3 linked regions of the Arabidopsis thaliana genome follow. The protein of the gene in region 2 interacts with the protein of the main gene of each other region in a pairwise test. Each region holds a gene or a part of one and is shown on either strand. Other genes may lie near its edges.

Region 1 (3,760 bases), on a different chromosome or scaffold from region 2:
ACATTGCAATTTTGAAGCTCCCCTACAGACATCTTCCTCCATAACCTGCGTTTCTGATTAGTGCTTGTTTAGTAGCTTCCGAAGTAACCATGTATCTCTGCTCACCAACCTACATATATACGAAAAAAACAGAATATAACAGAAAATAATTATAGAATATACATTTAATTTGTCGATGCACCAAGTAAGGCTAAATCAAAGTGTAATAATATTTGTACCTCAAAACAAGAAGCCTGCAATGAGAAGTCACTGAAGCAGCTAATGACACATTGTTCAATCTCTAATCCTAGAGTCTCCAATGTACTAACCGTTGATACAACCAAACCCGGTTTCGTAGGACAACATATATCAATATGCGTATTAACTTCCCTTTGATCTACTTCAAACTGCAAAAGATTCGTTTTCGTTATAGCCAGAAAAATTGTCTGCACCTTCAAGTGATTATAATTTTTTGAGTGATATCTAATGGGAATCAAATTGATTCAAGTATATGATGAGGGTGTTTGTAACAAATGATTTGTAATGGGATGAATTTGTAAAAACACAAGACTTATGAGTACTGAAGCACAAATACCATAATAACATTATGTTTTGTTTTTAGCTTTTACCTTTAGGGAGTTTCTGACCATAGATTCGTTTGTAATGAGGGTGCTTAGATGAGAGTTGCTTCCAAGTTCTTGTTCGTCTTCTTGCAACTTGTTAATCTTGTCCAAAAGCTCCTTCATGTAATCTATTGCATCTCCTAGTATCGATGTCCTATCCATCTGATTTTATTATATAATAATCATCAAAAATTATATACATTTTCTCATACAACAAACTCTATGCAGATTCACAAAAAGCAATAACCTTTTATCAGTGAACAGTGTACCAAAAAAAAGATTTCAACAAGAAGAAAACATACATGTAACGTTAAGAACTTAACAAAAAAGGAAGAATATTTCTTCTTGACTTAAAAATAAAAACCATATAACATGTGACAAGGATGAGGTTTATGGAATTTGACCTTGGTGATTTTAGGGACAATGGATCGGAGCAGGGAGAGTCGGTCATTTAACCGTTTCCTCCGCCGTCTCTCCGCCATAAGATTCTTCGAAGGCTGACCTTCAAGCTTCTTGTTACTCCTTTTCTTGTTAGTCTCTCCGATGCTTATGAAGCTCTTGCTTTCCTCCATCAATGGTGAGTAATTGTTGGTGTTCTCTTGCGAAGCCGGAAGGATCAATGGAGGAGGAGAATAAGAGGAGTGTATGATATCCTCGAGAAAAGGATAGTCGAAAGCGGAGGAGAGCGGCGGAGAATCATAAAGAGGTGACGACGGTTGTGGTGGTTGATGAAGCAATGGAGGTGGCTGAGAAATTAGATTCATCAAAGAAGAAGAAGAAGGATGATCAATGTTGTCGTCTTCTTGGAGAAGATTGTTGAAACAGAGGTAATCGAAGTTCCAATCATTTGGGACGAATTGGTCAATCGCCATGAATCCTCCATTAACGCCGTTGAGATTGTTGCTTTCTTGTTTTCTCAATTGCGTCAATTCCGTTTCCATCTCTCTTTCTCTCTATTTTCTGAAACTCTGTTATTTGTGAAAGTGGAAGTGAACAGAGTTTGTGAGCTTGGGGTCAAAGAAGATACAAATGCATGTAAATGCATTACATAAGTGTGAATTGTAATGAAGAATTCACTTTTTAACTGATTAGAATTACTTTATTCCATTTGACATATGTATATTTATGACTTGTTTGTTACATAAAAAGTGGATTTTAATAGTTAAAAATATATATACAAATAAGTAGTTTTGTCTAGTTGTTTAAGGAGAGATCCACTAGAAAACATTACAATTTAGTGTGTTTGTTTTTGATCCATGGTCCAGCACCAACCTATGAGGCATAAGCTGAGATTGATGAAATTTTTTTTTTACTTAATATCGTTTTCTTTTGTGTTGTTGTCTGAATCGTATTATTATTGATGGTTCGTTTTCAGTGACGATATTAAGTAATTTATACGTTCTCTTTGATCGGAAAAATGATCTGACCCACAAAGTATGTCCCGGCCAAAATGAATGAACATCATCATCTAGCTCTCTTCCTTAGTCAACTTATGTATATGATACGAATGGTATTTAATATTAGAAATATCAAATATGAATAATCAGATGCTTACAAAAGTAAGAGATAATGGTCTAGATTTCGAGATTGAGAAGCTGCCATCATATTTGCTTTTTTATTATTATTATTGGATAGGCTTTTGGCACTGAACGTTAATAACATGGAAAAATCTTGAATAGATATATATTATTGTGAGTTTTTGCCATTTCAAAAGTACTCGTATCCGACGATATCGATCAATTACGGGAAAAAATAAACACCCGTGTCTCTTCTAATAGACATAATTCCGCAAATTATTACATTGTGGTGTATCAGTGTATGATTGTATTAATATGGAAAAAGAAAAGACTGACAGGTCAAAGAGATCGAAGAAGGCTTAAGTCAAAGAAATTTGTTTCTTATATCAGAAGCGAGTTGCGTGAGAGTTTGTGGACACACACTGTCTCCTACTCTATCTTCACTCCATTATTTACTACTCAATCGGATATCATTATTGTCTGCATTATATAAGTTGCTTTTCTTTGACAATTCATTGTTTTCATTTCTCAACATTTAAATTGAAAATTAACAAAATTTCATATATTTAAATTTCTAAACTAATCATTCTTGGATACCCATTGACTTTTTTTAAAAAGTATGTGTTTATCCTAATAATTGTTGGTTTAACTAAAACCAGGGATCAACAGTTGGGTTGACAAAGGTTTAGTAAATAAAATAAAGTAACAACCATAAGAAAAAAATGACACAATTTTCAAGGTGAATGCATGCAAGCAGAAGCAGGGATAAGAAAAGATGAAACACGTGAATAAGCTTCAGCCATTATGTGCTATGTGACCATGACTAAGCCACTATGGATGCATATTTGAAAATTTTGGGGTTGTTAGTTAAGTTTCAATATTGGGTTTTGAGTTTTCGGTTCATTTATTTTAGAGAGTTTTACACCAAAGTAAATAATTCTGACTTTTAATATAACTACAATACATAAAATTTGGTGGTTTTAAAATTTTTGTTATTTACAATTAATATTTTTAAATCCTTGTGAATAAAAAATTTATATACAATTTTAAAATACTATCATTTTTAATTTTTTTAAAATAAAATTTAATGTTTTCTTTTGTCAACTAGCTAGAGACACTTGAAACCCACCCATTTGTAAAAGTAAAATTATTCAAGCATTAGTCTACAAAAATTGTAGACCTTGATTAGATAAAGCCCCAATTCATAAATGTTCACTGATCTTAATTAATTACTATAAATCGATTAGATAAAGGCCCATAATGATTTGGCCCCTCTACCGTCCGTCAAATGACAAGTAACAAGAAACAGCAGTGAACCAACCGGTCCAACTGTTAATTTAGATTTTACCGGTCTATTTAGTTCGGTTTAAAACTATACCTTTTAGTTTCCTTTTTCACTCTTCTCTACAGATTTATTTTCCTCCAAAATATGAATCTTCAGTTGACTCTAATCTCCTTACTCTTCTTCACTTCCGCCATAGCTGAAACCTTCAAAAACCTCGATTCTCATCCACAGTTCCCTTGTAAACCTCCTCATTTTAGCTCTTATCCCTTCTGCAATGTCTCTTTATCCATAAAACAACGAGCAATTTCTCTCGTCTCCCTCCTCATGCTCCCAGAGAAGATAGGTCAGCTCTCAAA
Region 2 (3,760 bases):
ATCGTAGAACACTGCGAGTTTGCTACTAATCTAAAATCCAAAAAGTATAAGATAATAATTAAAACTCCCAAAATTTCACCTCTTTGGTTTTTCTTATTTATATCACGTCCCTTTTCTTTGTAACCTAAAGTTTACACACGTTACTAGGAGTCAAAAGTCAACTAAGTTCGACTAAGATTTGACCACATGACTTCACCGTTGATTTGCTCGAAGATCTGATGAACGGCTGTCGCTATCTCATCTGCTGATCCTAATTTACAACCATCTTCCATCTGCATGCACAACACCATTCATTTCTCATCTCTCCAAAACTAAACAAAAATTAGCAACTTACTAAAAAATTAAACTAAAATTTTCTAAGCTTAGAGTGAAGGAAAAAAATACACACACACACACATAATTGTAGATATTTTCTATTATGGTTTCTCATGCATTTTAATTTTCTTAAGTACCAAACATTTCAAAATGAAGATTCCTTAATTTTCCTCAAAAAGTCAAAAATTGCTAGTTACATAAGACTATTTATAATAATGCTTAAACTAGTGGAAATTGAAACTGATAGTTTAAGAGATGATTAAGAAAATTACCTTGAGATTGAAAGAGTAGATGACAAAGTCAAAGGAAGAAGAGATAGTGAGATGTAGAATCGCAAGCTTTAGTTCTTCAATCGAGACAATAGCTTTTAAGATCTGTCGTTTTCCTCTCTTACACCGAACTTTTAAGCTCACATGGTTCTGTATCACCGTAGCCTCCACTTCTGTCGTATCTCCACCGCCGAATCTCGCCGTAAATCCATTTTCCGACGTCGTAGACACGCTAGAAATAGAAGAGTTAGTGCATGCAAGAGACGAAGATGAAGAACACGACGCCGTTTTAGGAGTTTCATCAGTTCCATCCTTTCGTTTCTCAGCTTCTAGAGATTGCAAGAGTTGCTCTAGTTCCTTGATGAAATCTATTGCCCCTCCTACAATCGAAGCTTGGTCACCCTAGAGAAACAAAAACGTTTTCTTGTTAAAGCTAAATTACGTTCTTGAAAAGAAAAAAAAATTACGTTCTTGTTTAATGAACCCTTAAAACATTTTGTTACCCGTTGAAGAAACGAAGGAGGCATGAGAGATCGGAGAGAGTTTAAGTGTTCGTTCATTTGTCGTCTTCGATTACGTTCGACGGCAATGTGAGTCATCCTTTGGTTTTCAACTTCGTCTTTGTTCTTTGGAGCTCTTGTACGTTTCCGTTTTCTTTTTTCTTTGACCGTTACTGCTCCGTTTTCTGTTCTTGGATCCTTTTCCGGGTCATCTGTTTGACCCGGATCTCTTTTGATGTTTGTTTCAAGGGTGAGACAGCTCTTTGATTCTAGGGTTTGGATCTGGAGAAGTGATTGGAGAAACTGATTTGGTTCTGTTGTTGTAAAAGGGTGTTCTATGCATTGAAGCATTTGCAGAAATGGTATCTTCTCTTCCATAGTAGTGTCTGAAATCTGACCAAATTGGTCTTCTAATTCACCAAAACTCATCAATCCACTCATAATTAGCTTCAACAAAGAAAAAAACAAGAGAGATTAGTTTTAGGATACCATTTTGACAAGAAAACAAAAATCTACTAAATCTTAAAGTGGGTATGAGAAATAAATGGTTTGGTAGGTGAATTCTTAAGACAGAACAAAGAGGATGTACGAGGAGAGAACATTAAATGATGAGAAATAAAGAATGTCGCAGCGAGAGGAAACAATAATAAAAGTAGCAGAATTTGGATAAGCTATTGTAAAATGAATTTACAAGAATTTTGCATTGAATGTTAATCATATGAAAGGAGGAGGAAGAAGAAGAGTAAATGCACAAAACAGTATTCTGTATATGAGAATAAATTACAAGAGAGGCTTACATGAGAAGCTTTATGAGTCTCTCTAATGGAACTGTTTTCTGAAGTAATATTTTTGTAACTTTGAGTATTTAGATATAGGTGTCTTTCCTCAAATAGTCTTCAAATTAACAACTTCTGCTGCTGCTTCTTCTTCTCTCTCTTTCCTCTAAACTAAAAACATTCCTTTAGGGGTTGACACTTTCTAAACTGTTCTTAATAAATGCAGTTTTCCACATATATAAAAGGAGAGAAGACGAGGAAGAGAAGAAGAAGAGGTTCGGTGCATATATGTATAAAAAAACCAAGGGTGAAAAATAAAAATACTATACTATAGCTAAATTATCTAGTTATATATATAGTCGTCGATATTTAGTATTTTACACGCACACATACAGTAATATATGTATGTATTATTAATTAAATATTTAATCCGTGAAACAGATAACCTTTCTTCTTCTTTTTTTAACCTAAATTTTGGACAAAAATATACGTGGGTGTCCTGTCCTCCAGATCAAATATTTATGACCTTGTCCTCTTTGGGCCTTCAAAATAATTTTCTTTCGGGACAATACTCTTTGATTTTTGTTCTTAACGAATTTTACTTTGGTAAATATAAGGAATTCGATAGACTTTGATGAAGGAATTCGATATTTGGCTCGACCAAAAAACATATAAAATACTTTATCTATAAAAATAATTCTACTTAAACAGAAACTTTGAAGATTCACACTAACATATATACATGTTTAAATCATCATCCAAAAATCTTCTTCTGTGTTTGGATATGTTGGCTTCATTGGTGTTACATATATATTAACCGTTTTGACCAAAAAATAATAATATATTAACCGTATTTATTTCATTTTCTTACCATATGTTTTGCTACAACTATTAGAAATTAAGTGTATATATATAATATAACTCTGTATAGACACAATGAGATTGTGCGTTGGGACTAGGAGGGGTCCCGTAAAAGTATTATTGAAGAGGGCAGTGAAGACAGTTTTGTTTGGTGGGGACACGTCTTCCATGAACAGTACTTCTCACTCTTATTAAGACAGTTTCAGGATCAGAAAAGAAGACCAAGCCTCTCTTGCTTCTTCCTCTTTTTCTTTTCTATCTTTAGAGAATTAGTTTTCTCCAATCCAAAAAGGGTTTTCATGTCTTTTACTTCAACTTTTCATTTACTTTGTTTTTTCTCTTTTAATCGAGCTAGAACAAGTACATTATGGGTCTTTAAGTATTTCCCAATATGGTGTGTTGACTTAGTGCTATAAAAATTAAGAATGACAATAGTACCCTTTAAGAAGAGGACGAACAATGCACATGGCCAAGGCCAAGGCCATGGGTGCCAAACGTTAAGTATCCTAATAATACCAACTCGATTTCAGTGCCTTGGTCTGTAGGGCAAACAACAGTACTCTCCCCCAAAAGAAATTTACCTTTTTATTTTTGTTTCCTTCTCCCAAACTACAGATTTTTATTCTACCTCAAAGTCTTTTAAGAACTTGGATTTTGTACCATGCATAAGTGAGTCCAAAACTCACATGCAACCTAATAAAATTGAATAGACTACATTTGAAAAATAGGCCAAACGAATTATGAAGAAAGGAAAATAGATGTATGAAAATATAACACACAAAATGTTTTTATATTATTATAGATAAAGAAAAAAAAAATTACAAGTTTTGTCTAGTACATTATCCACCCAATAAGAGCATGTCACATACCAATTGAGAAAAAAGTGGAGTAAATTTTTATATATTACTTAGCTAAACACAAGAATATCTATAATATATATCATTATCAACATATCATATGTGGATAGCTATTTCTTCAGCCATTATAGGTTCGAATGGAAATCAGTTTGCATTAGACACGCGAACCACATTTTCTTAGG
Region 3 (3,760 bases), about 14 Mb from region 2:
ATCTCCAAACCCTAGGACATTGATTCCTTCGAGATTACTGGTCTTCTTCGTTGTAGGCAAAAAAAAATGGTATTTATTGTTAATTTGTATTTTTCTGATCATGCTTGGACAAAAAAAATGACTCGTTCAGGTTAGAATTTAAAATTAAGTGTATGCGTCATATGACACAATGCTCTCGTCATCTTGTGTCTAACAGAGTGAAATAAAGAACGAACAATTGTTTGTATACACACAAATACAATCGCACCTACATGTGCACATATTTTATTACGCTTATCTATAGAAAACTGTTTGATACATTTTTTCATTCTAAAGTAAATACACAATCCAAAAAATACTATGTCATGTTAAGAATGTTTAGTATATCTATTTATTTTAGGACAAGGAACATTTAACATATAGTAAACAGTTTTAACAAAATTTCTCTGATTTGAAATATATTTTTTATATTATCAGTAAAAAGAAAACTGTAAAGGTAATTATAGTCGTTGATTAAGATTATACTTAGTTTTTTAAAATAACATGTTTTAAAAATTTTGCAAAATAAGTTTTTTTTTTTACATGTCTCATAATTTTTGTCCTCAGTTTATGTTAAAAATATTTTGTTATTTTGATACTAACATCTTCCATACGCTGAAAACATCTTTGAGAATATTTTTCAAAACACAATATACAAAAATCCACAGTGACTTTATTCCACGATGAAATGATATCAAGACATATATGTTCTTACCTTTACCTTTCAACGAAAATGAGAGAAAAAATATATATATATAGTATCACTTTTAGAAAATGTTTTTTTTTGCTAATTAATTATTATATAAAAATGTTGAGAGCAACTTGATCATATATGTAATAAAGTCGCAGTGAAAAAAAAAATGTAATAAAGTCGCATACCGACGTTGTGACTCGTTTTTATGTAATTGATTAGTTAAGTACAGAGTTCGTTAGATGTATTTGCATTGTTACAATTACAGAAAACCCTACGCAACACAATTCAGTACTTTTTACGTCAGCAAAAATAGAATCTTTCGTTGAAAATAATACCAGAATCGTTCTTGTCTTTAATTTTCTTACCTTTTTGTAATTGGATATGATTTTTGACTATGGAATTATTATTATTTTATTCTATAAAATTATAGTTTTTATTATTGGAATCATTTATAAATGCTATTACTCAGTGTTCTTTAAAGTCCATACTAACGAATTCAAGTACTTATTTAACAAAACAAAACAAACAAATACTAATAAACTAAAAGTACAAACATTACTATGTTATTAAAAAAAGCATATAGCTGCGTGATTTTAAAGGTATATGTGACATATAATACAACGACGCCGTCGTATTTTATTGAATTTTTTTGTCACTTTTAATTAGTATACAGTGAGGAAATAAGCAAAAAGAAAGAAAAAAATATTGTTGGCTCGGCTAGTACCTATAAATAAAAACACTAGTATTTGGCCCAGGATATAATCATTGCAAGTTTAGAACTAGTTAGCTAATCTAAACCGTTAGATCAAAGAAGCAATCTTACTAATCAGAAAAACAAAATTCAACAAGTTACAAGAATGAAAAAAATAGGGATAAAAAAAAGGATAATTCATTTACATTCGATCAAAAGGCGAATGCATAGATCATAGATGCAAGACACTTGTGAGTTGTGATATAACCAAAAATTTATTTAATTATATGTAATATATATTCGAAAAATTTATACACCGTATATAAAATATTCGAATAATCCTTTTCTTTGATTTAAAAATATTTTCTGCTTGTTTTCTCAACTCATGTATTAATTTAAATAATAAAAGTAGCTACCACCTTTCTCTGCCCCACTTTAAGATAAAGCTAAAGCATGGAAAAAAGCATGGGAAAAAAGTAAATATATGATATACAATCAAATAAATCTAAAAAAATAGAAAAGAAAAATTAAAGGAACGAAAAAAAGAGGGAGGAAAAAGACAAAATTAAAAAACAAAAATAAAAATTCCAAAAAAATTAACATCACATGTTATCAAATGAGATCAAAATTTAAGTTAGTTTTGAGTTTTCTCTCTCTTTCTCTTCTCTAAAACTACTTAAGCTAAAGAATCAAACACTTCTCAACGTTTCTCCAAAGCCTCTGATTAGTAAACACATAAAGAGATCTATAGAGAGAGAGAGAGTAGAGATAAAAGGTGATGAATAGAGGTGTGTTGGAGAGTTCGCCGGTTCAGCAGCTGATGGCAGCCGGAAACCCTAATTGGTGGAACGTAAGCGGCGGCATGAGGCCACCACCACCGTTGATGGGTCATCAGCAGGCGCCGTTGCCACCACATATGACTCCTAATAACAATTATCTCCGACCACGGATGATGCCCACTCCCTTCCCGCACTTCTTGCCATCTCCGGCGACTTCTTCTTCTTCCTCTTCTTCTTCACCGTCTTTGCCTAATAACCCTAATCTCTCTTCTTGGCTTGAAAGCAATGATCTCCCTCCTGAGTCTTGGAGCCTTAGCCAACTTCTTTTGTAACTATCCCTCTATCTCTCTCCCTCTATAAATATTCCAAAATGAAATATTCTCTATACGCACATGACATGATCTTGTGTTTACTTACTAGTTCACTCTTTGTTTTCTCGTGTGTTGCTACTTAGTCCTAATTACCTTTTTGTTATACGTATATACGTATATACATGTATGTGTTTGTATTTTAAGTATCAAACAAACAATCTAATATTTTGGATATTTTCTTTGTGAACTTAGGGGTGGATTGATGATGGGAGAGGAAGAGAGATTGGAGATGATGAACCATCATAATCATCATGATGAACAACAACACCATGGTTTTCAAGGGAAGATAAGATTGGAGAATTGGGAAGAACAAGTGTTAAGCCACCAACAAGCTTCCATGGTGGCTGTTGACATCAAACAAGAGGGTAACATTAACAACAACAATGGCTATGTCATATCTTCCCCGAACTCACCTCCTAACAAATCTTGTGTTACAACAACTACCACAACAAGCCTCAATAGTAACGACGATAACATCAACAACAATAATAATATGTTGGATTTCTCTAGCAATCACAATGGTCTTCACTTGTCAGAAGGGAGACACACTCCTCCGGATCGATCCTCTGAGGTAACACTTTTTCCACATCTCAGAGATTTTGATAATATACGGAAAAAGCTCGGAAATAATATCTAGTTTTACACATAAATTAGTAAACACATCAACTACTATGAAAAAGTGAAATCTAAAACGTCATTTAAAAAGATCAGGACAACATATTTTATTTTAAGGTTTGGATCTAAATTCAACACGCAACCAGGATGAGTTTTGCTCTGAATTTTTTTTGATTAAATGACTAATTGATCTTTGTTTTGTTTGTTATCTATATATGTGATGCAGTGTAACAGCTTAGAGATTGGTGGGTCTACTAATAAGAAGCCAAGGCTCCAACCTTCTCCTTCGTCACAATCAACCCTCAAGGTAACTAATTGATTATATCAACGAAACTTTGGATAACTTATATAACGTTTTCTGTATATAAATTCCCTCCCTGACATCATACTAACAAAACAAAAACACAAACACAAAGGAGAACAGAAGAAGCAAACAAAACAGAATGGGCACAGAATAAGCTGTGTGGTTTTGTGTTTTGTAACTCTTTTGTTCTCTCCTGTTTTGTCTTCTTCTTCATTCTTCAATATTCCTTTCCTCTCTTTATTTCATAAAAATCAAACTTAAATTAATAAATTTCAACATTCTCCTTAG

What was found.
Region 1: the proteins of AT4G01460 (region 2) and AT5G10570 interact in a two-hybrid assay, tested with the Arabidopsis thaliana proteins (one large-scale study listed by BioGRID).
Region 3: the proteins of AT4G01460 (region 2) and AT4G29100 interact in a two-hybrid assay, tested with the Arabidopsis thaliana proteins (one large-scale study listed by BioGRID).

The regions. Positions count from the first base shown.
Region 1 is NC_003076.8:3,339,140-3,342,899, reverse strand, and holds the start of AT5G10570 (basic helix-loop-helix (bHLH) DNA-binding superfamily protein), read right to left. Parts: upstream 1,701-3,760; 5' UTR 1,544-1,700; coding exon 1,007-1,543; intron 765-1,006; coding exon 609-764; intron 387-608; coding exon 219-386; intron 110-218; coding exon 23-109; 3' UTR 1-22. Other genes in the region: AT5G10560 (Glycosyl hydrolase family protein), read left to right, coding at 3,549-3,760.
Region 2 is NC_003075.7:619,099-622,858, reverse strand, and holds the start of AT4G01460 (basic helix-loop-helix (bHLH) DNA-binding superfamily protein), read right to left. Parts: upstream 2,169-3,760; 5' UTR 1,882-2,168; exon of another isoform or gene 1,532-1,881; 5' UTR 1,526-1,531; coding exon 1,088-1,525; intron 987-1,087; coding exon 588-986; intron 273-587; coding exon 162-272; 3' UTR 1-161.
Region 3 is NC_003075.7:14,338,959-14,342,718, forward strand, and holds the start of AT4G29100 (basic helix-loop-helix (bHLH) DNA-binding superfamily protein), read left to right. Parts: upstream 1-2,006; 5' UTR 2,007-2,181; coding exon 2,182-2,510; intron 2,511-2,745; coding exon 2,746-3,124; intron 3,125-3,394; coding exon 3,395-3,475; intron 3,476-3,760.